7 linked regions of the Macaca fascicularis genome follow. The protein of the gene in region 4 purifies or fractionates together with the protein of the main gene of each other region. This does not show direct contact. Links are inferred from orthologs where the notes say so. Each region holds a gene or a part of one and is shown on either strand. Other genes may lie near its edges. The genes, in order: BAG2, DNAJB6, XRCC1, SOX2, DNAJA2, ILF2 and SUPT16H.

Evidence for each region.
Region 1: the proteins of SOX2 (region 4) and BAG2 purify together in Homo sapiens (affinity purification with mass spectrometry; 3 studies listed by BioGRID and IntAct, with this or other methods). This does not show direct contact. The link is inferred for Macaca fascicularis from reciprocal best matches to the Homo sapiens genes SOX2 and BAG2.
Region 2: the proteins of SOX2 (region 4) and DNAJB6 purify together in Homo sapiens (affinity purification with mass spectrometry; 3 studies listed by BioGRID and IntAct, with this or other methods). This does not show direct contact. The link is inferred for Macaca fascicularis from reciprocal best matches to the Homo sapiens genes SOX2 and DNAJB6.
Region 3: the proteins of SOX2 (region 4) and XRCC1 purify together in Homo sapiens (affinity purification with mass spectrometry; 3 studies listed by BioGRID and IntAct, with this or other methods). This does not show direct contact. The link is inferred for Macaca fascicularis from reciprocal best matches to the Homo sapiens genes SOX2 and XRCC1.
Region 5: the proteins of SOX2 (region 4) and DNAJA2 purify together in Homo sapiens (affinity purification with mass spectrometry; 3 studies listed by BioGRID and IntAct, with this or other methods). This does not show direct contact. The link is inferred for Macaca fascicularis from reciprocal best matches to the Homo sapiens genes SOX2 and DNAJA2.
Region 6: the proteins of SOX2 (region 4) and ILF2 purify together in Homo sapiens (affinity purification with mass spectrometry; 3 studies listed by BioGRID and IntAct, with this or other methods). This does not show direct contact. The link is inferred for Macaca fascicularis from reciprocal best matches to the Homo sapiens genes SOX2 and ILF2.
Region 7: the proteins of SOX2 (region 4) and SUPT16H purify together in Homo sapiens (affinity purification with mass spectrometry; 3 studies listed by BioGRID and IntAct, with this or other methods). This does not show direct contact. The link is inferred for Macaca fascicularis from reciprocal best matches to the Homo sapiens genes SOX2 and SUPT16H.

Annotation. Positions count from the first base shown.
Region 1 is NC_088378.1:114,546,289-114,550,238, forward strand, and holds the start of BAG2 (BAG family molecular chaperone regulator 2), read right to left. Parts: upstream 2,801-3,950; 5' UTR 2,427-2,800; coding exon 2,314-2,426; intron 2,264-2,313; exon of another isoform or gene 717-2,263; intron 1-716. UniProt on the Homo sapiens protein: Co-chaperone for HSP70 and HSC70 chaperone proteins. Acts as a nucleotide-exchange factor (NEF) promoting the release of ADP from the HSP70 and HSC70 proteins thereby triggering client/substrate protein release.
Region 2 is NC_088377.1:198,639,904-198,644,149, reverse strand, and holds the start of DNAJB6 (dnaJ homolog subfamily B member 6), read right to left. Parts: upstream 2,801-4,246; 5' UTR 2,662-2,800; intron 1-2,661. UniProt on the Homo sapiens protein: Has a stimulatory effect on the ATPase activity of HSP70 in a dose-dependent and time-dependent manner and hence acts as a co-chaperone of HSP70. Plays an indispensable role in the organization of KRT8/KRT18 filaments.
Region 3 is NC_088393.1:51,608,826-51,612,758, forward strand, and holds the start of XRCC1 (DNA repair protein XRCC1), read right to left. Parts: upstream 2,801-3,933; 5' UTR 2,692-2,800; coding exon 2,641-2,691; intron 2,229-2,640; coding exon 2,136-2,228; intron 1-2,135. UniProt on the Homo sapiens protein: Scaffold protein involved in DNA single-strand break repair by mediating the assembly of DNA break repair protein complexes. Negatively regulates ADP-ribosyltransferase activity of PARP1 during base-excision repair in order to prevent excessive PARP1 activity.
Region 4 is NC_088376.1:93,587,211-93,591,315, reverse strand, and holds SOX2 (transcription factor SOX-2), read right to left. Parts: upstream 2,801-4,105; 5' UTR 2,366-2,800; coding exon 1,406-2,365; 3' UTR 285-1,405; downstream 1-284. UniProt on the Homo sapiens protein: Transcription factor that forms a trimeric complex with OCT4 on DNA and controls the expression of a number of genes involved in embryonic development such as YES1, FGF4, UTF1 and ZFP206. Binds to the proximal enhancer region of NANOG.
Region 5 is NC_088394.1:42,898,574-42,902,662, forward strand, and holds the start of DNAJA2 (dnaJ homolog subfamily A member 2), read right to left. Parts: upstream 2,801-4,089; 5' UTR 2,701-2,800; coding exon 2,623-2,700; intron 1,083-2,622; coding exon 1,023-1,082; intron 707-1,022; coding exon 483-706; intron 1-482. UniProt on the Homo sapiens protein: Co-chaperone of Hsc70. Stimulates ATP hydrolysis and the folding of unfolded proteins mediated by HSPA1A/B (in vitro).
Region 6 is NC_088375.1:107,508,750-107,512,068, forward strand, and holds the end of ILF2 (interleukin enhancer-binding factor 2), read left to right. Parts: intron 1-406; coding exon 407-485; intron 486-746; coding exon 747-834; intron 835-1,571; coding exon 1,572-1,633; intron 1,634-1,717; coding exon 1,718-1,832; intron 1,833-2,053; coding exon 2,054-2,144; intron 2,145-2,293; coding exon 2,294-2,454; 3' UTR 2,455-2,819; downstream 2,820-3,319. UniProt on the Homo sapiens protein: Chromatin-interacting protein that forms a stable heterodimer with interleukin enhancer-binding factor 3/ILF3 and plays a role in several biological processes including transcription, innate immunity or cell growth.
Region 7 is NC_088381.1:89,045,704-89,049,203, forward strand, and holds part of SUPT16H (FACT complex subunit SPT16), read right to left. Parts: intron 3,261-3,500; coding exon 3,108-3,260; intron 2,606-3,107; coding exon 2,459-2,605; intron 2,048-2,458; coding exon 1,896-2,047; intron 1,227-1,895; coding exon 1,054-1,226; intron 1-1,053. UniProt on the Homo sapiens protein: Component of the FACT complex, a general chromatin factor that acts to reorganize nucleosomes. The FACT complex is involved in multiple processes that require DNA as a template such as mRNA elongation, DNA replication and DNA repair.

The sequences.
Region 1 (3,950 bases), on a different chromosome or scaffold from region 4:
AATACAGAAGACAAAATGCAGTCTAAAAAAAGGGCTAGTGTACTGATAAATTCCATTAGAGATAAATGGAAATCCTTTAACAGTTTGTAGAACTGCTGCCAAACATTTTAATCATGTAGATCAGTTCATACTCCAGGTCATGAAGTATGAAATTTCTTCCACAATTGACAGGATGATGTGGTTAGGGAACATTACGTGCACACTTCTAAGTACAAACGGTAAGGTTTTATTCTACCCAGTTACACTACTTTATTAGTTAACATAAAATCAAACTATTAGAGCAAAATTACATATGAGTTTCATGTTTTCATTTAAAAATCGATCTTGTACGCATGATTCTAGTTTTTAATAGTGTAGTGTTCTATGCCATTGCCCATGTGGTTTCAAAAAAACACTTTAATAGGATCAATGTTAGCATTTTTCTCTATTTTTGCTTACCTTAGGAAATCCTTCCTTTTCAGCTAGTATTACTTTTTTAAAAAGAAAAAAAAGGCCTACAAAAGTCTAGAATTACTAAAAAAAGTCCTTGAAATGAACAGCCACATATTAATCACTTTTCTCCTCAGCTCAAATGTTAATTAAGCAAGTTGTAATTTAATCACTGATGTGCAGTAATCAGAATTCATTTTACATTAATCAAACATTAGAATATAATAATATTCAAAACCTGAGGCTTTCTTTTTAAGAGGAGCACTTCAGAGGGCTTTTGTACCTACCACATGTGAGGCATTAATTCAAGTTTGAGGACAATGACTCAGCTTGAAGGAAGGCGGGGTGGAGTAACATCCTACCCATTCCTTTAGGAAAAAATCTTTTCTTTCTAACTAGGGGAGAGCGAGTGAAGTGGTTGAGAACATGCCCTCAACGTTCTGAAGACATGGAGAGAGGTGTGTTACTTGTTATGCGGCTCCCTAAAAAGAAACATCAGTTAGAGGGACTTCCAGTAACTGAGGCCACCAATTTCTACTTGCGCTTTACTTTTTCTGGGAGTGGAACGGGTCAGGTTTGCTAGTATTGTGAAAATCCATGAGGAAGCATTATTTCTCTCTTCCACTTGCCTCATTCTGAGTGGAACCCCAGAACCTCGTGTAGGGCTTAGGTTTCTCTGCTGCCATCCAAGAAATTATTTTGAGCGGAGAATCTCTCACTCTCTGGCTCTTTTCTCCCAATAGTAACAATAATAATGCCTTACTTGTTAAAAGAGATGCCGTGGTTTTGAAGTATTTTCTCGGCAAACGGACACTTCATATTTGGGTGTATTAATGGAGGGAGATAAAACACACATGCAGTGTTTCCTGAACTTTTTGGCTCACATGCTTCTTTGCTCATGCACAACCTAGAGAAAACTATGGAACCAACTCCTGTGTACAGTTTCAGGGAATTCCAGGTGCCTAACAAGGTTTTCTTTTAACTACAGTTGCTCACAAAATTTACACAGTAACTTGAGACAAACGTTCACAGGAAGTAGATAAAACTTTTCAATATACCGTTAAAGTCTTTCCAAAAATCTATTAACATTATATTGTTTAGAAATTCTGTACAAGTCTACTACTATATTACCTAATAAAATCTTAAGCAAGAAAAAGGGAAAACTATCTTTTCATACTTTCAGGCCAGTGACTAACACTTCGTCTTCTATGTAGGGAGGTGCCCAATAAATACTGAGAGACAAACGGAACCGCGGAATCCCGTCCGCCAGGTCAGGGGATAAAGAGAAGCCGCAACGTCTTTACTGCACGAAGCACCCGGTAACTTACTGCCTACCCCTCACTCCTCTCTAATCTTTGGTCTCAATGGATTGCTGGGTTGGTTTTGTTTTATTCATTTTTGCTCTTTTAAGTGTTCTGAAGCAAGGAAACTTAACTTCACGTGGAGGGCCACTGTAAACTGCTGCCTCCCTTAAAAATGTATGACGGGAGAAGAGTAAGTTAAAAACATTTGGGGCCACACAGAAGGTTCTAGAAGCTCTGCAGACCCACGCTGCCACAGTCGTTAATCGCATGGAATCTCACCTCTTAACTTTTATCTCCTCTTTTTCCTGCTCCCCAACACCTAGGTAAGTTAATCAAAGTGTGGCCACCATCACGCCCTCACAGGTTTAGCTTACAATGCGTTTTCTCTTGGACAAGGGGAGAAAATCCAAGAAATAAACAAAACTACACCACGTCCATCCACAACAAATCTCAACAAGCAACTTCTGTTGCCGCAGCCTCACTGTGCCCCAGGGCCCGGCCCGCCACACGCGGCCTCCGTCCGCTAACCGCCCGCGCGGCGAGCAGAACGCCCGAGACCGCCCGCCCGCCCGCGGCTCACCTGAGCTCCAGCTGGTCCAGGCTCTCCAGCAGGCGGCTGGAGCGGTCGGCCATGGAGGAGGAGCGGCAGAAGCGCCCCTCGTTGGCTTTAGCGTTGATCTTCGCCTGAGCCATCTAAGCCTCCGACGCGGGGCAGCCGAGAGGTCACCGGCCCCTCCGGCGGCGGCGAGTGGAGCGCTCCTCGGGCTGCAGGCGTCGCCGTCACCACGCGGGCGCCCGCCCTCCCTCTGACGCCCGCGGGGGCAACCCGGGAGGACTCGCCGACACCGCGGCTGCCGCGTGGCCAAAGAAGGGCAGGCGCGGCGCCCGCGGGGCTCGGGGACGCCGGGCCTGGGAGGGGGCTGCAGCGGCTGGAATTAAGAGGTTCGCGGGCCACAGGGGCTCGAGGATGGGCCGATAGGGGCTCGGGCCTGGGGAGCGCAAGTCTCTGAGGCACGGGGAGGGGCAGACGCAGAGACTGAGCGCCTAATGTGGCCAGCGGATCGTCTGCTCCTCGGACCCAGGAACTACCCGAAGCCCGCCCGGACCCACAGACCACCCCCAGCTCCGCCCCGCGTGGCCCCGCCTCTTCGTGCAGCCTAAAAGTAACCAACTTCCCCCACACGAAGGTTCCTATCGGTCGATGGGTTGTGGGTGTATTGCTCAGTGATGGCTTCGTTTAGTTTCTTCCAGCACCCATAATTCAAAGCAAGAACAACGACATTAAGGGTCCTGTGATATAGGGAGAAAAGGTCCTTTTGTGAAACAGAAGGCAGTTAAGTGCAGCTCCTAGGCAGCCCACACTCACCTGACCTTCCTGTTACCACTTTATACTAAGATGAGAGTAACGAATGCCCGGACAACGCTGAAGCTATTAAGTAAAAAAGAAAAAGCTACTCCATCTTTCCCTATCTAGGTAGATGTAGGAAACAAAGTGAATTTACTTCATTTTTATCATTCTAAGGATTACAGGTGTGAACCACCACGCCCGGCTTAATGAAGGAGTTTTTAATTTTTGCTATTAAAATTATTCCTGTTGAGTGAGCCGAGATCTCGCCACTGCACTCCAGCCTGGGCAACAGAACGATACCTTGTCTAAATAAATAAATAAATATTCTGAGTGAAATAATTGGCATTAAGAAGTCCTCAACTTTTAATTTTTTTTTTTTTTTTTTTTTTTTGAGACCGAGTCTCGCTCTGTGGCCCAGGCTGGAGTGCAGTGGCCGGATCTCAGCTCACTGCAAGCTCCGCCTCCCGGGTTCACGCCATTCTCCTGCCTCAGCCTCACAAGTAGCTGGGACTACAGGCACCCGCCACCACGCCCGGGTAGTTTTTTGTATTTTTTAGTAGAGACGGGGTTTCACCGTGTTAGCCAGGATGGTCTCGATCTCCTGACCTCGTGATCCACCCGTCTCGGCCTCCCAAAGTGCTGGGATTACAGGCTTGAGCCACCGCGCCAGGCCAACTTTTAATGTTAACAAAAAGATGCAGTAGGCCTCTAGGTCAGGCACCAGCTGTCGGTAAAAGATGGAATAGAGCTGAGGATACAAAGATTAGTCTACTTAAAAAGTTAGGTTTTGGTCCCCTCTCCTGATAGCTCTATGCCTCTCACTGCAAGGATGTTAATGTACACGGCACAGAAAATGATAGATAATAATA
Region 2 (4,246 bases), on a different chromosome or scaffold from region 4:
TGGTGAAACCCCCATCTCTAATAAAAACACAAAAAAATTAGCTGGGTGTGGTGGCGCATGCCTGTAATCCCAGCTACTCCGGAGGCTGAGGCAGGAGATTCGCTTGAACCTGGGAGGCGAAGTTGCAGTGAGCCAAGATGGCGCCATTGTACTCCATCACGGGCAACAGTGAAACTCCATCTTAAAAAAACAAAAATAAAAAATAAAAAAAAGGGCCAGCCGCGGTGGCTCACGCCTGTAATCCCAGCACTTTGGGAGGCCGAGTCGGGTGGATCATGAGGTCAGGAGATCAAGACCATCCCGGCTAACATGGTGAAACCCCATCTCTACTAAAAACTACAAAAAAATCAGCCGGGTATGGGGGCGGGCGCCTGTAATCCCATCTACTCGGAAGGCTGGGACAGGAGAATGGCGTGAACTTGCAGAGATCGCGCCACTGCATTACAGCCTGGGCAACAGAGCAACACTCCGTCTCAAAAAAAAAAAAAAAAAAAGTTCAAACATACCATCCCACCCCCACCTCAGACCTGGATTTGGGTTACCTAGGTGGAAAACTGATGAAGGTGATGGGTACCACTATTCGTTTGAAACTGTCCAAATCAGTTAATAGAAGGAATTACAGACTTGCTTAAAAATGAAAGCTAATGTATGCCACTTAGTTACAGGTATCACACTGTAATACCATACCCTTATTTCAGTCTTTACAATATTCAACAATACTCACCACCTAGTGTTCCGGAAAAACTGTCCTACAGCCAGAATTACTTCCCAAACCTAACACTTTCATATCCAGAAGAAAATAAGTTTTAAAACACTGATGTTTTGAAGAGAGTGTTGAACTCATCTCAAATTCTTCAAGAGCCTTGCCCTCTGAAATTCCCAACTTTCTCATGTTCCACAGTACAGACTAAGCCTAGTTAGGCATTTTTCAAAGGTTCTCAATCCTTTTGTTCTCCCACTTCCTGTCAAGTCTCCACATCTACCAATTTAAGGCAACTTACTTCCCAAATTTCACATCCAGAATAATCCATAAACACCCACAGCTCATTAAAGTGTGCATAAAAAATATTCACCCCTTTATCACAGAAGGCAGAAAGAAATGTGAAAGAACCAACTTCAAAGGAGCTTAAGGCTCTCAGAAGTGGAAACAAGTCTGCAGTCGGCCGGGCGCGGTGGCTCACGCCTGTAATCCCAGCACTTTGGGAGGCCGAGGCAGGCGGATCACTTTAGGTCAGAAGTTCGAGACAAGCCTGGCCGACACGGTGAAACCCCGTCTCTACTAAAAATACAAAAATTAGTCGGGCGTGGTGGCGAGCAGCCGTAATCCCAGCTACTCAGGAGGCTGAAGCAGGAGAATCGTTTAAACCTGGGAGCTGGAGGTTGCACTGAGTGGAGATCGCGCCACTGCACCCTGGCCTGGGCAACAGAACAGACTTCGTCTCAAAAAAAAAAAAAAAAGTTTGGAGTAAACCCAAAAAGAAAACATGACGGATGGACAGGCGGAGTAGTAAGGTGGATGCATATAATTCCTTTCAGAAACCATGAATCGTTCTGATATGCAACATTATTTGGAAAAGTGCGGTTAAACACGAAGCAGCAGCAACCAAGATTTAGTAGTTAAAGTCTGTTTACTTTCCTTTCTTCGGTCTTTAGTCTTAACTTTTCTACTAAATCAATAATTTGGCTTAACTTGTAGCCACAAATCCTTACTAAATTCGCAACTCATATTAACAAAAACGTTAAAAATTACAAAGAGCTCCGCTCAGCCTACTCTTCCCAAACAGGCTGAAGCCTCTGAGCTCGCAGGCGGCATCCCTTCGGTGGTGGCACGATCGTTCTACTCGGGCTACTTCCTGCCTCGTTTACGTGAGAAAATTAGTACAGAAGTTTACGTCTGACTAGAAAACCCATCCTTTTAAAAAAATGCGCTAGCGCCAAAACCTTTCTCGAGCCAACATACGGTTTGCAGTTTATACTTCGTGTGTCACTGACCTTCCTCAGTTGGGTAAGAGTTAATATAAACTTGTTACATAAACTTCAGTTGCATCAACTACGGTGCAGATTCTTTAACGCAAAGCAAAGCAGACAGACGTTCTGAATAAGAAACGCAGCCTGCTCTTCCACAAACTTCTCAACAATCCGTCCGGAGTTCTAGAAACAGGGCTCTGCGGTCCACCACCTGCTTCTTCTCCCTCCGAACTTGGCGGCACGGCAGCGGCATTCCCGCTCCGCAAGCCACTCGCGTTTCTGGTTTCAGACTCGAGGGAAGGAGCCTTAGAAAGAAGGCGCTCCACGCCTCCCACGCTGCCGGCCCCGCCGAGCCCCAGCCGAGCCCCAGCCGGCCGCTCCCAGGCCGGGCCCCACCCCCAACCGCCGCCGCGGAGGCCGGGCCGCGTTCCGGCAAGGACGCCGGGCGGGGAGGACGCGGCCGGGCGGCCCCAGCCCCCAGCCCCGGCCCGGGCCTCGGCCCCAGACCCAGAGGACGCCGCCCACCTTTCGCCCCGCAACCCCGGCCACGGCCCCCGCCCCTTCCAGTACTGCCCCGACCGGCGACCCCGGTCACCCCCCACGCTGTTGCCAGGAGCCGGGTTAGGTCCGCCGTCTGCCGGGCGCGCGCAGGGCCCTAGGCGACCTCCCCCGGCCCTCGAAACAGACTCTCACCGAGGACGGAGGCGGCTGGTGGCGGGACGCAGGGGAGGCGGGGTGACTGCCCGAATCTCCTCACAGCTCCTGCACTGCTGCGCTGGTGGTGGCGGCGTCTCCTCGCGCTTTCCTTTCTCTCCTTTCTCCGACAACAAACAGGAAATGCGTCACGCGGCGGCGGCACAGCGACGTTAACTTCCGCCCGGCCCTGACGCCGCGCATGTGCAGTTTCCACTGCCCAAAACGCGGGCCCAGCCTCAGAGGCGCCCGCCCCGCCTTCGCGAAGGTTCTCGGCTCTTCCGCCGCCCCGAAGAGGCCGGGAGACTGGGGGCGAAGGGGAGGGGAGGGGAAGCCCAGGGCGAGAGGGCGGAGCTCGGGGCCGGGTCCACGGTACCGGGAAGCCCAGAGGCGCGGACGGCGCAGAGAAGGCCGAGAAGATTCCAAACGGCACTGATTGTTCTGGGCGAGAAGGAGCCCATTCTGGAAACCGCGATGTCGTCGCGCCCTTCATCTTCGGCCGGCGGCCTCCGGAGCGCGTCCGCCGCCTCTCGCCCCCCGGTCCTCCCGTGGAGCTGGGTGGCATCTCCCCACAGCGGGACGAAAGCTGGGGCGCGGGCGCGGGCGGAGAAGCCCTCGAAGGGGAGGAAAAAGAAATCAAGCGGCGGCCAGGGAAGGCAAGCGAAGGCACCGGCCCCCGCTCGTCAATTTAGGGAAGGCCTGATACCCGAAGTTCCCCGGCGAACGGGAGTGCGTGGAGACTTCGCCAGGGAATAATGATGGAAGGAAATGGAAGCAAACTGTGGCCGAAAATACCGAAGAAGCTTTTTAGATTGAATCGTGGCAGTTGTTTCCTGAAAACGGGCCGCACTTTGATCGCTGGACTTGAGGTCATCCCCAGACTCGCGAGGCTTTCCCGCGTCCGCAGGGGTTCTGGTTCTAACCCTGGAGATTAATACCACACGCGTGCAGATGGTGACTAGCGGGAGCAGGGAACCTCAGACCCCGCGCAGTCAGACAGGCTTTCATTCCCAGTAACGAAAGGTCCTGTAGATCCAAAGCCTAAAGAGGTCAACAAGCAGTTCCGTGCATGGAGCCTGGCCTGGATCTCCCACTGTCTTGTCTCCAGCACTCAGCCAGATGTTTGCTACTGTGTTGTCTTCGTAGCCCACCTTATCCTTTCCTTTAAGAAATAAAAATGCCAACCTGGTGTGGTGGCTCACGCCTGTAATCCCAACACTTTGGGAGGCCAAGGCAGGTGGGTTACCTGAGGTTGGGAGTTCAAGACCAGCCTGACACAAGGAGAAACCTCGTCTCTACTAAAAATGCAAAAAAAAAGTTAGCCAGGCGTGGTGGCGCATTCCTGTAATCCCATCTACTTCGGAGGCTGAGGCAAAAGAATCGCTTGAACCCAGGAGGAGGCGGTTGCAGTGAGCCGAGATCATGCCATTGCACTCCAGCCTGGGCAACAAGAGCGAAACTCTCTCAAAAAAAAAAAAAGAAAAAGAAAAATTCCTTTTTGTCACACCTTTCCTGAACTTCAGATCCTGTGGCATGCTGACGCTGAATTCCGGGGGCCTGCTCAGCCACCTTCTGAACAATGCTT
Region 3 (3,933 bases), on a different chromosome or scaffold from region 4:
CAGGTGCTAAACATTGACATCAATTGGGATGGACTAGATGATGTTACAGTAACAAAGGAGTCCCTAATCTCAGTGGTTTGAAACCACAAAGTTGTATTAACTTACACTGTAATAATGCTGTGTAACAAATCATCCTAAAACTGAGACTTTTTTTTTTTTTTTTTTGAGACAGAGTCTCACTCTGTCTCCCAGGCTGGAGTGCAGTGAAACCATCACAGTTCACTGCAGCCTCAACCTTATGGGCTCAATTGATCCTCCCCACTCAGCCTCCCTAGTAGCTGGGACTACAGGCATGCACCACCACGCCCAGCTATTTCTCGTATTTTTTTGTAGAGATAGGGTTTCCCCATGTTACCCAGGCTGGACTCAAACTCCTGGGTTCAAGCGATCCACCCACCTCAACCTCCCAACATGAAAACTGAGACTTACACCAACAAGCATTCTTCTAAGAGTTCATGGGATGGCTGCTTTGGCTGCAGTTTGGAAGGATTCAGGTCTCTTCCATGAGATTTCAGTTTTCTGGGATTAGCAGTAACCTGACAAATGTTCTCATGGCAGATCATGGGAGCACAAAACCCAAGTGCATTTAAGGCCCTTGCTGAAGTTAGATGTGCTGAAATTCCATTAAGTAAATCATATGGTCAAACCCATCAGTGGAGCAGGGAAATATACTCCCCCTCCAGCGGGAGGGAGAGGAGTGGATATTTGCTGAATGACTGCCCATTCTCAAAAGGTTAATTTTTCCTTCACCCTAGCACTATCCAGAGGGTGTTCTGCTCCTTATAGTCATAAACCAGCCCCCAGGCCAGGAACGATGGCTCACACCTGTCATCCCAGCACTTTGGGAGGCTGAAGCAGGAGAACTGCTTGAGTCCAGGAGTTTGAGACCAGCCTGGAAACATGGTAGAAACCCTGTCTCTAAAAAAAAAAAAAAAAAAAAAACTAGCCAGGCATGTTGGTGCACACCTGCAGTACCAGCTACTCAGGAGGCTGAGGCAGGAGGATCGCTTGAGCCCAGGAGGTAGAGGCTGCAGTGAACCAAGCCAAGATCATGCCACTGCACTATAGCCTGGGAACAGAGTGAGACTCTGTCTCAATAGATAAATAAAAGACTGACTGTCAGGCAAGTTGTATAACTTATTTGGGCCTCAGTTTCCTCATCTGTAAAAGTGGGGATAACAGAGCTTGCCTCTTGGGGTTTATGAGGACTCAATGAGCTAATCTATGTGAGTGAGGTGTGTAGAGCAGTGCCTGGCAGGTAATGTTGAATAATGTTAGCTCTCATTACTATTCTTTTATTTTTTATATTTTGGGGGTCTCGCTGTGGTGCCCAGGCTGGAGTGCAGTGGCGCAATCTCAGCTCACTACTGCCTCCATCTCCTGGGCTCAAGCAATTCTCTCACCTCAGACTCCCCAGTAGCTGGGATTACAGGTGCACACCACCATGCTCAGCTAATTTATAAAATTTTGGTAGAGATGACATCTCACTATATTGCCCAGGCTGGTCTCAAACTCCTGGGCTCATGCGATCCTCCAGCTTCGGCCTCCCAAAGTGCTGGGATTACAGGTGTGAACCACCACACCTGGCCTATTATTCTTTAAAAAAAAAAAAAAAAAAAGTATTTATTTTAATAAAAATAGAGACAGGGTCTTGATATGTTGCCCAGGCTGGTCTGGAACTCCTGAGCTCAAGCAATCCTCCCATCTCAGCCTCTGAAAGTGCTGGGATTACAGGCATGAGCCACAGCATCCAGCCAGTTTCCCCTTCTTTAAAGTGGAGTTGATTGGCTTAGATGACCTTCCTGGACACCTTCCAGCCCCGAGCCCACTGGCTGCAGGAGGCAGGGTACATGGCAATGATTCATTTTGTTCCAGCTGAGGAAAGTGAAACCCAGAAAGTAGAAGCCACCAGCCCAGGACCACACACTGATTCCTATGGTCATCCTGGACCTCATCCTTGGGTCTCCTTTGCTCTCTGCTGAGGGGCACAGGGATTATGCCGCCCATTTTCCAAGTAAGGAAGCTGAGGCCCAGCAAAGAAAGTGACTCAACCCATTGCCAGTTGGTTCAGGAGCAGAATCTGGTACCCCGGACTCCAGACTCCTAGTGAGGAGGAGGTGGGGTGGCAGGATCACCTGTAGAACCACAGAGATGGTCTTCTCGCCTGCCTTGGCTGCCCGCCATTTTCGGTAAGTGTCTGCCTTGAGAAGATTTTCTGCACAGTGGGTCTGGAAACAACAGTGGGAGAGGAGAATTAGAGCACAGAAATGACAGCTAGGCCTCCAGCTCTCAGTTGATTCCTTCGAGTCCTCCCAAGGCCTCTACGATCCTCCAGACTTAAGCTCTCCCGTTAATCCCCCCACACTCTGCCTGGAGTTTCCCTTACAACACTTTCCCGTGGAAGTTCACCTATGGGCTCTCCAAGAAAGCTTTCCTTATTCCTCCTTTTCTCTCCGGAAGTTCGTTCCCTAGACGCCGGAACGTCCCTAATTCAACATCTCTCCACAATTCACTTTTAGTCTCCTGGAAATCCCCCCATGACTCTCCTTAGACTTCCAAGAAGAACCCCAAGAGTTCTTTTAAGAGTTGTCCTCATTAATTCCCTCACGTCTTCCAACCTCCCCCATGCAGGTCCCTCACCGAGTCCTGGCTGCTGCAGGACACGACATGGCGGAGGCGGATCTCCGGCATGTCAACGTCGTGGGCTTCGCCTGGCCAGAAGGATGAGGTAGGGTCTGGGGTCCGAGAGGCACGGAGGGTGGGAGGGGGTGGGGTGCGCCCTGCGCGGGCTGAAGTGCGCAAGCGCGCGAGGCTTGGGCCTTTCAAACCCCGGCGCGCCCGCGCTGGCGTCGACACTGCGCAAGCCCAGTCGCGCCTCTCCACAGCGGGAAGAGCGCTGCGTTCCTTAGCAACGAGCGTTTCCTCCAGCCCCGCCTCCCTCTGCCACACACCCCCGCTCTAGCCCCGCCTCCCGATGACGTCCGCACCTTGCTTTCTAGGCGCCTAGCAACAGAAGCGACCTCCGGGATTGGTGTCTAGAAGAAATTCGCCATTCTCATTGGACGATGCAGTCACCGCTCACACTGGAGCCTAGAAAGCAAATCTTTTTGCTGTATTATTATTATTTATTTTATTATTTTTTAAAATTTTTTGTTGAGACAGGGTCTTGCTCTCTCACCCAGGATGGAGTGCAGTGGCAGGATCTCGGCTTTCTGCAACCTCTGTCTCCTGGGGCCAAGGGATCCCCCCACTTCAGCCTCCTAAGTAGCTGGGATTACAGGCACTCGCCACCACATTCGGCTGATTTTTGTATTTTTTGTGGAAACACGGGGTGAGGGGGCGGCGGGTCTTGCTATCTTGCCCAGACTGGTCTCGAACTCCTGAGCTCAAGCGATCCACCTGCCTCGGCCTCTCAAAGTGCTGGAACTACAGGCGTGAGCCACCGCACTGGGCTAGGACAGCAAATCTGAGTGAATTTTCGTAGTTTCCTAGGAAACCTGGATTCTACGCAACAGGATGTCCTCAAACGGCTCAGGAGGCTGCACTCTTCACTCTGTCCCCCTGCCCCACCCCACCCCCACACACACACATACACATACACACACGCGCGCGCGCGAAAAAAAAAATATCAGATCTGTCTCAGCCTTATGCCTGAGGCCAAAAGAGAAGGGTTCAGCGTCCTAAATATAACGCAAAGTATGTGCCCAACCCCCACCCCCCCATACACACACCCCTATCCTGGAGTTTGTCCAAAAAAGCCTCAGTTTCCCAATATGTAGACTGTGGGCATCTGTCTTTTACTACGCCCGCCTATGGCTGCTGACAGGCATCCCCTCTGTTCATTCGGTCCCTTGGAGAGCCAAGGGTGCAGCCCAGGGTGGGGTCGCAGCTGGAGACAGCCCAAACATACAAGGAGTGTGAGCCAAGCACATG
Region 4 (4,105 bases):
TTATTCATGCTGCTTAGAAAAGGAGGGGGCGGATTTACAATATATGTCTCTAGTTTCTATTTTAGAAATGACAGAAATTTCAGTTTTTCCAGTACTTATTAATCATCCAGTCTTTTTTTTTTTTTTTTTTTTTTTTTTTGCAGTTAACATTAGCACATGATGCTGGACTAGTAATACCAAGGTTTTTGGTATTTTGCTTTCTTGGCTGAGCACAGTATTATAGTTCCCCGAGAAGTTATGTATAATCACAGTGTTATCCAAATAAATGAAAGACTCAAGAATAATTTCAGTGTCCATATTTCAAAAATTTATTTATCTCAAACTGTGCATAATGGAGTAAAAACTTAAGTTGAAAATGTACCTGTTATAAGGATGATATTAGTTCAAATATATACATGGATTCTCGGCAGACTGATTCAAATAATACAGAGCCGAATCTTTTAAAATACAACTACGGAAAATAAAGGGGGAAAAACCTTAAAATATCACAATAAATTTACAGAAATATTACAAACCATAAGAAAATATTTCAAACACAGTAATTTCATGTTCTTTTTTTTATCTGAACAAAATGGAAAGTTGGGATTGAACAAAAGCTATTATAAATTACCAACGATGTCAACCTGCATGGCCATTTTTGCTTTTAACAGTTGAGTTATAAAATTTAGTACAATCTAAAACTTTTGCCCTTTTAAACAAGACCACAGAGATGGTTCGCCAGTACTTATTCTAATTTTTTCCTTTTGTACAATTTTTAAACAATTAAAATGTCCAAATCTGAATAATTTTCTTCTTTCCACGTTTGCAACTTTCCTAAATTTCAGCTGCAGAATCAAAATTCAGCAAGAAGCCTCTCCTTGAAAAATATTGGCAAATTCTCAGCTTATAAACAATGGACATTTTGATTGCCATGTTTATCTCGATAAATACTGTACAAAAGTTGCTTGCAAATATTAAAACATTTTTTTCGTCACTTGGAGACTAGCTCTAAATATTATTGGTAAAGACTTTTGCAAACTTCCTGCAAAGCTCCTACCGTACCACTAGAACTTTTAAAAAGTTTTTCGTAGCTTTCTTTCCTCCAGATCTATACAAGGTCCATTCCCCCGCCCTCCCCACCCTCCCCTGGTTTTCTCTGTACAAAAATAGTCCCCCAAAAAGAAGTCCAGGATCTCTCTCATAAAAGTTTTCTTGTCGGCATCGCGGTTTTTGCGTGAGTGTGGATGGGATTGGTGTTCTCTTTTGCAGCTGTCATTTGCTGTGGGTGATGGGATTTTTTTTCCATTTTCTTTTTGAGCGTACCGGGTTTTCTCCATGCTGTTTCTTACTCTCCTCTTTTACAGCCCTCCCATTTCCCTCGTTTATCTTTGAAAATTTCTCCCCCCTCCAGTTCGCTGTCCTGCCCTCACATGTGCGAGAGGGGCAGTGTGCCGTTAATGGCCGTGCCGGGCACCGGGCCGCTCTGGTAGTGCTGGGACATGTGCAGTCTGCTGGGGGCGGCGGGTTCCGGCACCTCGGCGCCGGGGAGATACATGCTGATCATGTCCCGGAGGTCCCCGGCCTGGCAGGGCGCCCTGGAGTGGGAGGAAGAGGTAACCACAGGGGGGCTGGAGCTGGCCTCGGACTTGACCACCGAACCCATGGAACCAAGAGCCATGCCAGGGGTGCCCTGCTGCGAGTAGGACATGCTGTAGGTGGGCGAGCCGTTCATGTAGGTCTGCGAGCTGGTCATGGAGTTGTACTGCAGTGCGCTCACGTCGTAGCGGTGCATGGGCTGCATCTGCGCTGCGCCGTGCGCGTTGAGGCCCGGGTGCTGAGGGTAGCCCAGCTGGTCCTGCATCATGCTGTAGCTGCCGTTGCTCCAGCCGTTCATATGCGCGTAACTGTCCATGCGCTGGTTCACGCCCGCGCCCAGGCCGGCGCCCACCCCGACCCCGCTCGCCATGCTGTTGCCGCCGGGGGCCAGCAGCCCGCCGGGCAGCGTGTACTTATCCTTCTTCATGAGCGTCTTGGTTTTCCGCCGGGGCCGGTATTTATAATCCGGGTGCTCCTTCATGTGCAGCGCTCGCAGCCGCTTAGCCTCGTCGATGAAGGGCCGCTTCTCCGTCTCCGACAAAAGTTTCCACTCTGCTCCGAGGCGCTTGCTGATCTCCGAGTTGTGCATCTTGGGGTTCTCCTGGGCCATTTTGCGCCGCTGCCCGCGGGACCACACCATGAAGGCATTCATGGGCCGCTTAACGCGGTCCGGACTGTTCTTCTGGTTGCCACCCGCCGCCGCCGCAGTAGAGTTGCCGCCGCCGCCGCCGCCCCCCGAAGTTTGCTGCGGGCCCGGCGGCTTCAGCTCCGTCTCCATCATGTTGTACATGCGGGCGCTGTGCGCGGGCCCGGCCCGCCGGCGGCCGCCGACCCTCGGCCCGGCCGGGACTTTGGGGGCCCGCGGGCGGGGGGAGAGGAGGAGGGGAGGCGGGCGGGGGTGTCGGGAGCGCAGGGCTCCGCGAGGAAAATCAGGCGAAGAATAATTTGGGGGAAAAAAAGAGAGAGGCAAACTGGAATCAGGATCAAAAAAGAGCTTCCCTCCTCCTCCGGCCGATCCTGCCGCCGCCGATGATTGTTATTATTATTTTTTGGAAAGGCTTAAGCCTGGGGCTCAAACTTCTCTCCCTTTCTTTCTCTCTCCTCTTCTTTCTCTCAGTCCTAGTCTTAAAGAGGCAGCAAACTACTTTCCCCCTTTTGCAAACACTCTCTTCTCTGCCTTGACAACTCCTGATACTTTTTTGAACAAGTTAATAGACAACCATCCATGTGACGGGGGCTGTCAGGGAATAAATGGGTTTCTAGCGACCAATCAGCGCGCGGCGGCTCCTCCACTCGAGCCCAGCCTCGCTGCCGGGTTTTGCATGAAAGGGGGCGGGGCCTCCCGCGCCGCCGGCCGCGCGGGGGAGGCCGGGGGAGGAAGGGGCAGGCGAGGAGGGGGAGGAGGCTCCCAGAGCCAGCCTGCCAGCCACTGAGAAACCTTTGTATCCCCTCTCGCAGCAACAGGTCACACCACACGCCTTTTCGAAGGAAGTGGGTAAACAGCACTAAGACTACGTGGGGTTTTTTTTTTTCTTTAAACTTAATATTGATTTACTTTTTGGTGCAGGGTACTGAAATGAGGATGGGACGCGGGAAGCAGCTAAGGTGCGGGGGTGGGGCAGGGCACAGTGGGTGGCTCAGGGCGGCTGTCCAACTCGTATTTCTGGAAACAGCCAGTGCAGGAGTTGGTGTGTCATTGTTCTCCTGCTCATCCACAGCACTCCCCCCCCCAACTCCAGCCCCTCTGGTGCCGCTCCCGTACCGCGCTCTTCCGCTCTCCCCTCTTACCTTACAGGTGCCAACACTCTCACTCCCTTCTCACAGTCCCGACTAGCAGTTAGGAGACCCAAACCTCTGTCCTCAAAACCTTCCTTGCTTCCACGTAACGTTGCTCTGTTCTTAAAAATAAATCCTGCTCGGACCATGAGGCCGACTCTAGAGCTGAGAACCGGCAGGCCTTGGTAAGCTGCCATCTCCCTGTCCAACTCAGCTCTTTGGCCCAGGAAACTGCAGCTCTTCCTCTTAGCCCCAGCCACATCTCCCACTAGACTGTCTTCATTCAACCGTAGCAAAGGGGATGCTCCTACTGTCTCCCCCCACTCCCCATTCCCATCCCATGCCTCCCTGAAAGAAGGGTTTCGGTCGTGCGGGTTTCAAATGGGGGCTGGGGAAAGAGACAGACGGAAGGGCGCTCAAAAGTGCAGGCGATGGGGGAGGGTGATTTCAACTTCCTGGCATCCCACGGCACTGTACGGAGGTGGCTTTTGGGCCGCAGTCACAAACTCCCTCCCACGCAGAGTTCCCAGGACTCGAGCAGAACCAGCCCTGGCATTTCCCCCGTCGATTTCCACTGTGGTGGCTGCAAAGCCCAGGCCGCGCAAGGCTGGGGCTGCGCCGCAAAGGGGCTCAAGTCTTGGGAGGCGGGGTCGATGCTCTCCAGGCACAGGTGCAGGCAGCGCACACTGGGAGAAGGCGGCCGGGACTGGGGAAGGGGGAGCCCAGCAATGCCCGGGTTAGAGGAGGATGAGAT
Region 5 (4,089 bases), on a different chromosome or scaffold from region 4:
TCTACTAAAAATACAAAATTAGCTGGGCATGGTGCCACATCTGTAATTCCAGCTACTCGGGAGGCTGAAGACAGGAGAATCGCTTGAACCCAGGAGGCGGAGGTTGCAGTGAGCTGAGATTGTGCCATTGCACTCCAGCATGGGCAACAAAAGCGAAACTCAGTCTCAAAAAAAGAAAGAAAAGAAAAAAGAAAACGATCTTTACACTTGAAATTTTAAGTCCTATAATAACAAGCAGCCTCAGAACCATATAAAACCACCTTCCTCTCATTAAAAAATATCTACCATCCTTTTAAGAGCTACAGCAAAATAGAAACAGTCAGATAATCAAATTCTATTTAGTCACCAAAAGAAGACAAGGCACATGGAAGTTTTTCTAATGAAGGACAGAACATTCTATGAGTTTTTTTTCTTCTACTGAGTCAATATTCCACTTGACAAAAAGTACCTAATTTTTTAACACAACAAAACAAGATATTCACTTGAGTGGATGCATCATGTCCTCTCCTCTTCTTCTGCCATTTCGACTTCGACTCTGATTGCCCATGAAGCCGAACAATCCCCCACCAAAAATGTGAGAGAAAATATCATCCATGCCACCACCTCCGCCGCTGCCTTCCCGAAGACCTTGCTCTCCGTATCTGTCATATAACTCACGCTTCTCAGGATTTGATAGTACTTCATATGCAAAACTTATTTCTTTAAACTATAAAGAAAAGGTAAAAATAAAAATAATTACATTTTCAAATAGAAGAGTGGGGAGAGGCTATAGGAATCCAGAATCCATTTAATTCTAATAAAAGGGACAAGTTACCTTTGACTTGATTCTGCTTCTATTTACCACCCACCACTCCTCAGAATGGTAGTACTCTTATTCTAAAACTAAAATACTCTTTGACATTATGAAAATGTGGCTGTGTGGGCATAGTTGGATTTTTTTCCTGCAACATTCCTTTTTTTCAAGGAGGGCAATTTAAGTTAAAACTAAAACCCCCGGAATAAAAAAATCGCAAATAACTTACTTTGTCTCCTGCATTTGGATTCTTATCAGGATGATATTCCTTGGCTAACTTTCTGTATGCCTTTGAAAATGGACAAAAACAAAGAAGGTTATAACTAAACACCAGTTTAAAGTTTTGTAATAACTTAACATCCACTTTTCTGAAAAGTAATGTTCTAGAGTTATAACCTTCCAAAAATATTTTCTATTCGTATTCTTTGGCACTTCCTCACGATACTGTTTACTAATGTAATATAACCAAGTAGACTGTAGCTATACTTGAAAATAATTACAGTGACGTGAAAACCAGATAAAACAATGAAGCAATACCATAGGGAAAACGTTCAAACATTATCCATATTTTCCCTATCGTCAAGTGTCTGATGGCCAAGTAACCAGACCAAGACCACTCTAATAAATTTGAGATAAATGACTGTCAAGCTTTACGGACTGCAAAACATTACTATAAATCAAGCTAAAGTCACAATTCCTGCTCCCGATGGCTCAGGCCTTCCTTCTAACTGTAACATCATGAAAAAGTCAAGGTGGTCCCAGGTAGTGTCTTTAGGTGTTTTATTTGCACGTGGTGGTTAACTGGGGTCGTGGTGGCAACTTCGGTGGTAGTGAAGTTGCACACTCTCAACGAGGTGTTTGGGTCATACAGCACTTAAATCTTCATTTACGGAGGCTCGTGAATTATATAATACAGACTAGCATTTCCGGTAAGGTAACAGGAAGTCCACTGCACTCTTCTCACTGCCTAAGGAGCATTCTCATTTTTCTCGGCTTACAAATCCGGATGCTCTTAGCCCGGTGAGGATGCTGTGGGGCTTAAACGCCTCGTGTGCTTTGAAATCCTGAGATGAAAGATATCGCAGCATTGCAAACAGCGATAATAAGGCCTTCTATTCATGTTTATTGCACACTCAGGCGTTTGGCTGGGACCACGGCTTATTCCTAAGCAGGTACAGGACATTAGCATTACCTGACCACAGAACAATGCATCCAAACACAGACCCACGCTACCTCCGGGTCAATGGGCGAGGGAGGAAGAGAGGGAGGAGCTCCCGCAGCCCGCAGCCGGGGATCCCAGGAAACAACCCCATCTGCCCGAGGCGCTCTGTGGGGGCGGCCTCGACCTCCCCGCCGGACCTCCCCGCCGTTTTTCCCCGCGGAGCACCAGACCCGGGGCCGACGGCCGCGGGGTGGACAGCTTCTCTCCCGGGGCCGGGATGCGCTGAGCACCTCGGTCCAACCTGTTTTTCCGGGGTGGTGACCTCGACGCGGAGAGCCGGGCGAGCTGCTGCCTCCTGGGGGAGACCGGCCACCGGCGCTCGCCCGAGGAGGGAGGAAGGGCTACCGTCGTGTTTGCGCAGGAGTGAGTTTTATTTGCTGCATCTGCGGGCGGGCGGGGCCGGCGGCCCAAGGTCAGCCGAGGCCGGAGGGCGCGGCTCGCCGCGAGGCCGGTCCCGCCGCTGCCGCCGCCGATCCCCAGCCCGGGCCCGTCACGGCCGGCGCCGGCTCGCGGGCCGCCCAGTAGCGCGGCCTGGCTGAAGAAGACATCCCCGGCCGCGCAGGCCCCGCGCCCCTCACACCCGCCCGCCCGGCCCGCTCCCGGATACCTTCTTCAGCTCGTTCTCGCTGGCGCCGGGCGGGACGCCCAGGATGTCGTACAGCTTCGTGTCAGCCACGTTAGCCATGGCGGCCGGCCGGGCAGTGCTCAGGAAGAAGGTGGCGGAGCAGACAGAGGAGCCGGGCCCACAAGCGGCGTCGGCAGCGGATCAGGCCGAGGGAGACAGCGAGGGGGAAGCGGGGGCGGGGCTGAACTTTGACCGGGCGCACGGTGCGCCGTGACGTCGCAGTGCGGAGCCCGCCCCCGAGCGCCCGAGGCGCGGCCACTGGGTCGGGGTGGTGAAGAGTGTGGCTGGTTCTCTGATCTCCTCTGGGTCCAGGCTGCTGTGCTGGGCCGACGTAGGAAATGAACTCTACACGGCGCACCCCAGGAATTCAGCTTCCTCTCAAAGGCCATGGTTGCGACGTCGCGTGTTTAACCTCGCACTGGGTACTGAGGGGATTAACAGGCCTACGCGGCAGCTTCGTTAGCTTCGAGTCGGTCGGGAAAGGAAGTGGGCCCCGGCTCCTGCAGGAGGCCAGCCTGGCGCGCAGAAATCGTTCTCAGAATCCAGGACGTCGGTGGACCCTCTGGGTCTGGCTCCCTCGGGGCTTACGATGAAAAAAACTGGGGAGCGTGTGTGTGTGTATGTTGTGTTTTATGTTATGGGAATAATGAAACATTCAACAAAAGCAGTCTATTACACCCCGTAGTGCAGTTAGCTACATTTTACCAATTTTGTTTCATTCGCTCCCCTATACATCTCTGGTGTTTTCAGGGAAACCGTTTCATTCATAAATACCCTGAGTGTATATATTTAAGACAACTTTTAAAAGCATGACGACGTAATCTCATCTAATGAAATTAACAATTCCTTAATCTAATTCCCAGTCTATATTTAGGTTTTTCAAATGATCGCATGGCCTTTTACAATTGGTTTGTGGCATTCCAGTCCAAACCAAGGTCCACGTGTTGCTTCTGGACCACGTGTTTAAGCCTCTTGATAGCTTTAAAATTAGCTAATACCAGAGGTTTAGATGGTGTAAGGCAACTCTGGCCACCAGGTGACTTGATTTACATTCGTTTTAGTTTCGCTCAGAAAGTGAATGCTGTGCATCTACCACGTGCTATGATGTACAGAGGCCTGGTCCGGAGAGAGGAGTGTTACAAAAGTGCCTGCCTTCAACCCATTTACGGTTTACGGAGACAGAAAAGTAAGATTTTATGATCCCTTGGAACCTGAACTGATAGCAAAGACTTCAGTATAAGCATCTTACTCAGGATAATGTTTCTTCCTTGGCGTTCCCCTTGACCTAGTTGTGGAGGGCCTGAATGCCATGACAAGGTCTCTGAAATTTAGCCCGAAAACCCTAAGAGTAATCAGTGATAAGTCATTGATAGTCCTTAAACCCTTTTCCTCAAATCCCATCTGAAATCCTGCTCCCTCTGTGAAGTCTTCCTTGACTGGACACTGGTG
Region 6 (3,319 bases), on a different chromosome or scaffold from region 4:
CTCTTGCCTGCTTCTAGTGATTTTTAGACAAGTGATTTGCTGATATGAGAAACACGGGGTGGCTTAAAGAATTGCAAAGTTGGTTAGGCGCAGTGGCTCATGCCTGTAATCCCAGCACTTTGGGAGGCTGAGGCAGGCAGATCACCTGAGGTCAGGAGTTGGAGACCATCCTGGCCAACATGGTGAAACCCCGTCTCTACTAAAATACAAAAATTAGTGGGGCATGAGTAGCTGTAATCCCAGCTACTCAGGAGGCTGAGGCAGGAGAATCACTTGAACCCCGGAGGCGGAGGTTGCAGTGAGCTGAGATCGCGCCACTGCACTCCAGCCTAGACTGTAGCAGTGGTAATGAGTAGCTTGTTTAATGAAAATGTTTCATCCTGGCCTATCATGCTTGTCTTTTTAGTGGATATCAAGGTATTGCAGAGTGCCTTAGCAGCCATCCGACATGCCCGCTGGTTCGAGGAAAATGCTTCTCAGTCCACGTGAGTCCCTCCCTGACCATTTGGATTAAGATAAACTTTTTAATTTCAGTGAATAGCAGGATACCCCCATACTTCCTCTGACAGAACTATTTTGCCTGTGACTTTTTTTCTGGATTTTTATTTTTACCTTAAGCAAGTTAAGATTTAGAGAAAGCAGAGAGCGTATAGTTCTGTAAACAGCATAGTCAGCTTCAATTCTACCTTAGGCGTGGAAATACATGATGGTATTGATTTTAATGTTTGGGTCACTATTACTTTCAGAGTTAAAGTTCTCATCAGACTACTGAAGGACTTGAGGATTCGTTTTCCTGGCTTTGAGCCCCTCACACCCTGGATCCTTGACCTACTAGTAAGTAAAGATGGACAATTGGAGTTCCTCCTCATCCTTATTTACTAGTAGTAGTAGTAACTCTGAAATTCACCAGAGTCTGAAATTTGGTGAAGCTTAAAAGAAATTTTATTGGTAGACAAGTAATCCAATAAAAATTCAACATTTACATGACTCAGAGACATTTGTTTAAAAAAAAAGAAAAAATTAAAAGTTTTTTTTTTTTTTTGGTATATTCAATTAAATGAGTAGTTACTGAGTTATAGTGTCCTGTTTTCTTCTCATGACTGCTACCATTTCATCATGGCAGTAGAGAGAAATGAGTGAGCAGCCATTTCAGAATTGCTTCTGAACAACATGAAAATTTTGGCTAGGCTTAGACCTTAATAACCAGTTTTCCTCATGATGATTTAAGGTTTTAGTTTGATGCCTGTAATCCCAGCACTTTGGGAGGCTGAGGCCAGAGGATCACTTGAAGCCAGGAGTTTGAGACCAGCCTGGGCAAAATAGTGAGACTGTCTCTACCAGGAAAAAAAAAAAAAATATATATATATATATCCAGTTGTAGTGGCTTGTACTTACAGTCCTAGCTTCTCAGGAGGCTGAGGCAGGAGGGTTGCTTGAGCCCAGGAGTTTGAGGTTACAGTGAACTATGATTGTGCCACTGCACTCCAGCCTGGGTGACAAAGTGAGGCTACAGTTCTAGTTATCAGAATTGCCATTTTGATGGCACACCTACTGGATTTATTATTTTCCAGGGCCATTATGCTGTGATGAACAACCCCACCAGACAGCCTTTGGCCCTAAACGTTGCATACAGGTACAGCATGCTTCTTTGGGTTTAGGGTTGGTTTTAAGCTATTTTGTGCATTCTTTTAATACCTCATACTTCCCTGTGTTCTAGACGCTGCTTGCAGATTCTGGCTGCAGGACTGTTCCTGCCAGGTTCAGTGGGTATCACTGACCCCTGTGAGAGTGGCAACTTCAGAGTACACACAGTCATGACCCTAGAACAGCAGGTATTGGGACAGATACGAACTGAGTTGTTTTGCCCCATTCTTGAATACTCCTAGTCAGCTGGCGAAGTGGAATATGGTCTTTAGGGGTCAGGAATTGGGGGATTCTGAAATACTTTGTTCCTGAGATTTAAAAAATTGTCTTAATCTCTGTTTTCACAAGGGTATTACTCAAAGTCTTTTGATTTTCCTTGCTAACTTACTCTCACTTTGCTCTCCTTCAGGACATGGTCTGTTACACAGCTCAGACTCTCGTCCGAATCCTCTCACATGGTGGCTTTAGGAAGATCCTTGGCCAGGAGGGTGATGCCAGCTGTGAGTGACTACTGTGGGTCGGGGTTTTGTATTGTAATCTGGTCTACAAAGAAGCTGTACACTATTTAAATGTCTTTAATATTTCCACAGTGTAAATAATGTCTTTTATGCTGGGCTACTTGTCTAAATCACCTTTTTCTCTTTCCTAGATCTTGCTTCTGAAATATCTACCTGGGATGGAGTGATAGTAACACCTTCAGAAAAGGCTTATGAGAAGCCACCAGAGAAGAAGGAAGGAGAGGAAGAAGAGGAGAATACAGAAGAACCACCTCAAGGAGAGGAAGAAGAAAGCATGGAAACTCAGGAGTGATGTTCCCTTCACTCCTTTTCCTACCCAAGGGGGAAGACTGGAGCCTAAGCTCCCCGCTACTGGGCTTTACATGGTGGCAGACATTTCCGTGGGATAGGGAAGATAGCAGGAAGAAAAGTAAACTCCACAGAAGTGTCATTCCACTGGGTTTTGATATTGGCTTTGCTGCCAGTCTCCCATTTGTGACCTATGCCATCCATCTATAATGAAGGAGGATACCAACATTTCTTCCTAATATTCTAGAATCCCCAACTCCTGAAAACCCCTCTCTCAATTAATACTTTGCTGTTGAAATGTTGTGAAATGTTAAGTGTCTGGAATTTTTTTTTTTCTAAGAAAAACTATTAAAGTACTTCCTAGTAGGGCTCTTGGCCTTTTGGTTGGTTTTTTGGGTTTGTTTTTTTGCATGTGGCAACCTTTTTTGCTTCTTTTTGCTTTGTATACTCTTGCGTTGAAAATAGTATTTGAGTCTTTTAATTATAAATACTCAGATCACAATTTGAAGCTGTCTTTGAATTAAAGTACAAACTCCTAGAACCTTTCCATATACCAGAGTAAACTAGAATACCGTTTTAAGTATTTATTGAATAAAATGATTCTATCAATACTGCTACTGTATTGAAGCCAGTGCAATAAAAAACTGGGTGGACAGAGGTCATTCACTTTGACTTTGCCTGCCCTCTCCAAATCCCCAGTGTAAACAGGAAAATGAGAAGTCACAGGTAGAGGACATGCTGCCCAGGCCCATGTAACTAGGCATGTAACAAAGGAAGCCCCTCTGGTTAACTAGGCCTGAAGAAGGTAAGCCTCAAGTATGCAGGTTAAAAAAAAGTAGAGGCCTCTGCTCATTTGTGAAAGGAAGCAA
Region 7 (3,500 bases), on a different chromosome or scaffold from region 4:
TAAGACCGACTTAGAGATAATGTGGAAGAATGGTGTCTGGAAGCTCAGTATCCTTCGTATTGTTTTGATGTAGGATTAACATTATATATCCTGTTGGTAGAGATACTAGTTCTCAGAACTTTCTATAACTAAGGAATAGTAATAAGGCCAAGGTATTTTGTGAAGATCTGGACATAGAGGGCCTAACAAGTCAGAGAGGTTTCTATAAACATCAATGTAAACCACAATGATCACTCATACCTGAAAAAAATGCAGATTCAAGACCTACATGCTAGGATGATTCAACATTGCTAAATCTTATTCTGTTTTTAATATGACAGCCTCAGAGACATAAACATAACACTAATGACATTTCTTTTTTGAGACAAGGTCTCAACTCTATTGCCCAGGCTGAAGTGCAGTGGCGCAAACATGGCTCACTGCCGAGGTATAGTCACAACTCACCGCAGCCTTGACCACTTAGGCTCAAGTGATCCTCCCCAACCTCAGTCTCCTGAGTAGCTGGGACCACAGGTGTGCACCACTATGCCCAACTAATTTTTTCATTTTTAATTTCTTATAGAGGTGGGGGCCTCGGCCGGGCGCGGTGGCTCAAGCCTGTAATCCCAGCACTTTGGGAGGCCGAGACGGGCGGATCACGAGGTCAGGAGTTCGAGACCATCCTGGCTAACACAGTGAAACCCCGTCTCTACTAAAAAATACAAAAAACTAGCCGGGCGAGGTGGCGGCGCCTGTAATCCCAGCTACTCGGGAGGCTGAGGCAGGAGAATGGCGGGAACCCGGGAGGCGGAGCTTGCAGTGAGCTGAGATCCGGCCACTGCGCTCCAGCCTGGGAGACAGAGCGAGACTCCGTCTCAAAAAAAAAAAAAAAAAAAAAAAAAAAAAAGAGATGGGGGCCTCATTGTGTTGCCCAGGATGGTCTCGGACTCCTGGATTCAAGCAATCCTCCTGCCTCGGCCTCCCAATGTTGCGATTACAGGTGTGAGCCACAGCTCCTGGCCAATGACATTTTTGTGACGTAACTTCTAAACCTCCTTTTCTAAGGCACCTCACCATGTCTTAATTCCTTCAGCAGCTCCTCTTGAAGCTGGAGTAAAAAGTTGTAATTTTCTTGAACTTCCTGAGAAGGATCAACCATCAAAGTGCGAACAAGGTTGGAGCAGTAAGACTTGAAGCGAATACCCATGGCACAAGTGATGGCCCCAAAATGCATATGATTCTTGTCACTAGAGACCAAGAAAGAAAGAAAACATTTCATTACCAAAACTAGCGAAGTCTTTGGTATCAATGGGACACGGTATCAATAATCATTACTTTTCCCTGCCATATCCTAAAGCTGTGGCTGAATAAGGACCTAAACTTTTTTTGTGTTTTAAATAAACAAACCAGTTTAATAAAGGCTCTAGAGTAAACGTCAGTGACCAAAACTTTTAGGATAAAAATTCAGTGAGAAAGTGAGTACTGGATTATAAAAATGCAAAAGATATACTGAATTGTATCCATTATAGTCTAATTGTGGGGTTGTGAGGAGTCACTTATCCATCAGTCCTCTATGAATTGTGAGTTGTAGTTAGTCTTAAATATAGATAACAGAGACTGGAAAGGGTAAGTGTGTGGGGGGGCAGGCGAGGATGAAAAGAAATGGATTACAAGGTACAAACATAAGGTAAGATAGAAGGAATAAATTCAATGTTTGACAGCAGAGTAGGGTGACTCTACTTAACAAAAATGTACTGCACCTGCGTGATGGACACCCAAGAAAATGACTTGGTGACACTATACATTATGTACTTGTAGCCAAATTTCAATGTACCCCACAAATTTGTACAGATTTTAAAAGAAGAAAAAATAGGCTAAAGTCAAAGCGCTATATTATGAAGTCTTCATATACTTACCTCACCACACTGAACTTGAGATTATAGTTGCCACCACTCTGAATGATAGGAGGGTAACACATTTCCACAGTAGAAGGGTCTGCCCCAGCAAGGTATTTTTTCTCTTCAATGGCCTTTTCCACAGACTCAGCCAGTTTGCTGTGTCGAACTTTCTGTAAGAGCATCCAGAAATAAAGTAACACTTACTAGAGGGTAGCAAAGCGGGGTGTGTGGACACTATGATTTGAAGACAAAATATATCCTTGTATAAGGATGATATAAAAAAGGTCTTACGAAATGGTTTATGCACCAGGCAATATATTGGTATGCAGGCAAAACACATTTTGGAGAACAGTATGTAGGACCTACAGCTATTCCTAGGATTCTCAAGTAAAATAATGGGTTACCTCAAGAAAACATAATGCAGGCTTACCATTATTTTGAAAAAGAGATGACGTAATTACCACCAACTTAAGTGTCAGTCTTAATTTCAAAGGAAGTGGAAGAACACATCAACAGATTTGCATGATAGACTTATTACTGCTTCATTAAAACACTAAAAAGACCCTCTCATCTCCATTTACCTCATCTGCATCAACTATTTCCATGACTCTTTCCTTGAAGAATTTGTTGAAGACTTCAGAAGTGATGCTGGCTGCTTTCTTCATTAGGTTGAGCTCCCCATCCTCCTTTACAGCGATGGTATATGCCACAACTGCACTGATATCTATCTGCAGTCAAAGTGACAAGAGTTTCTAATATGCAAATATAGAATTACAAAATAATGCATCTCTCCAATTTGAATATTATCAGTGATATTTCTGTTACTTAGCAAATGATTTATCACTGGTTTGTAGAATATTCAAATATTCTCTTCTTGAACTGAATTAAACATTTGAAATAGCTCTTTGCCAGGTCACTGTGTGTAGTACAAGAGGTGTTAAACTAATGTACTACTTAAAATGTAAACTGCCCTCTCTAGATGTTTTTGTAAAGGCAGATGGAAGAAAGGCAGGGAAAGAAATTTTGTTTCCAACTCTAAAGTGGCTGGACTATCTCCTGAAAGTCCCATCTACTGGCTGAAAAGTAAAACTGGCACACTGCTCAAAGGGGATAAAATGTGAACAAACATACAGGTTTCCCAAAACAAACGTCCTGCACTATCTGTTATGGAAGCCCATCACATTTCTGTCTTCTCAACTCTTGATTTGCTACTTTCCAGTAGTATCTTACTTTGTCAAAGCCTTCTTTGTTGAGGCAGTCATTCCAGCTCTTCATGAACTCTCCAGGGAATTTGTCTTTGCTGAACACTCCAATCTTCTTTCCATTCTTGCTTTCTTTAATGGCTTCAATCATTTTGTCAAAGCTACTCTTATTACTTTCATTCTGTTAGTGTCACAGGGAAGAAAAGGGGTCTGTTAATTAGACATGTATGTTTTACCAATAACAGGTAGAGGAATATTCTAAACTATGGAAAAAATAAATTCTCCTCCCATCCCCACCTACTTTTTATTTTTAAAGAGACAAGGTCTTGCTCTACTACCCAGGGCAGAGCACAGTGGTGTGATCACAGCTCACTGCAACCTCGAACTCCCAGGTTCAAGCAATCCTGCCTCAGCCTCCCAA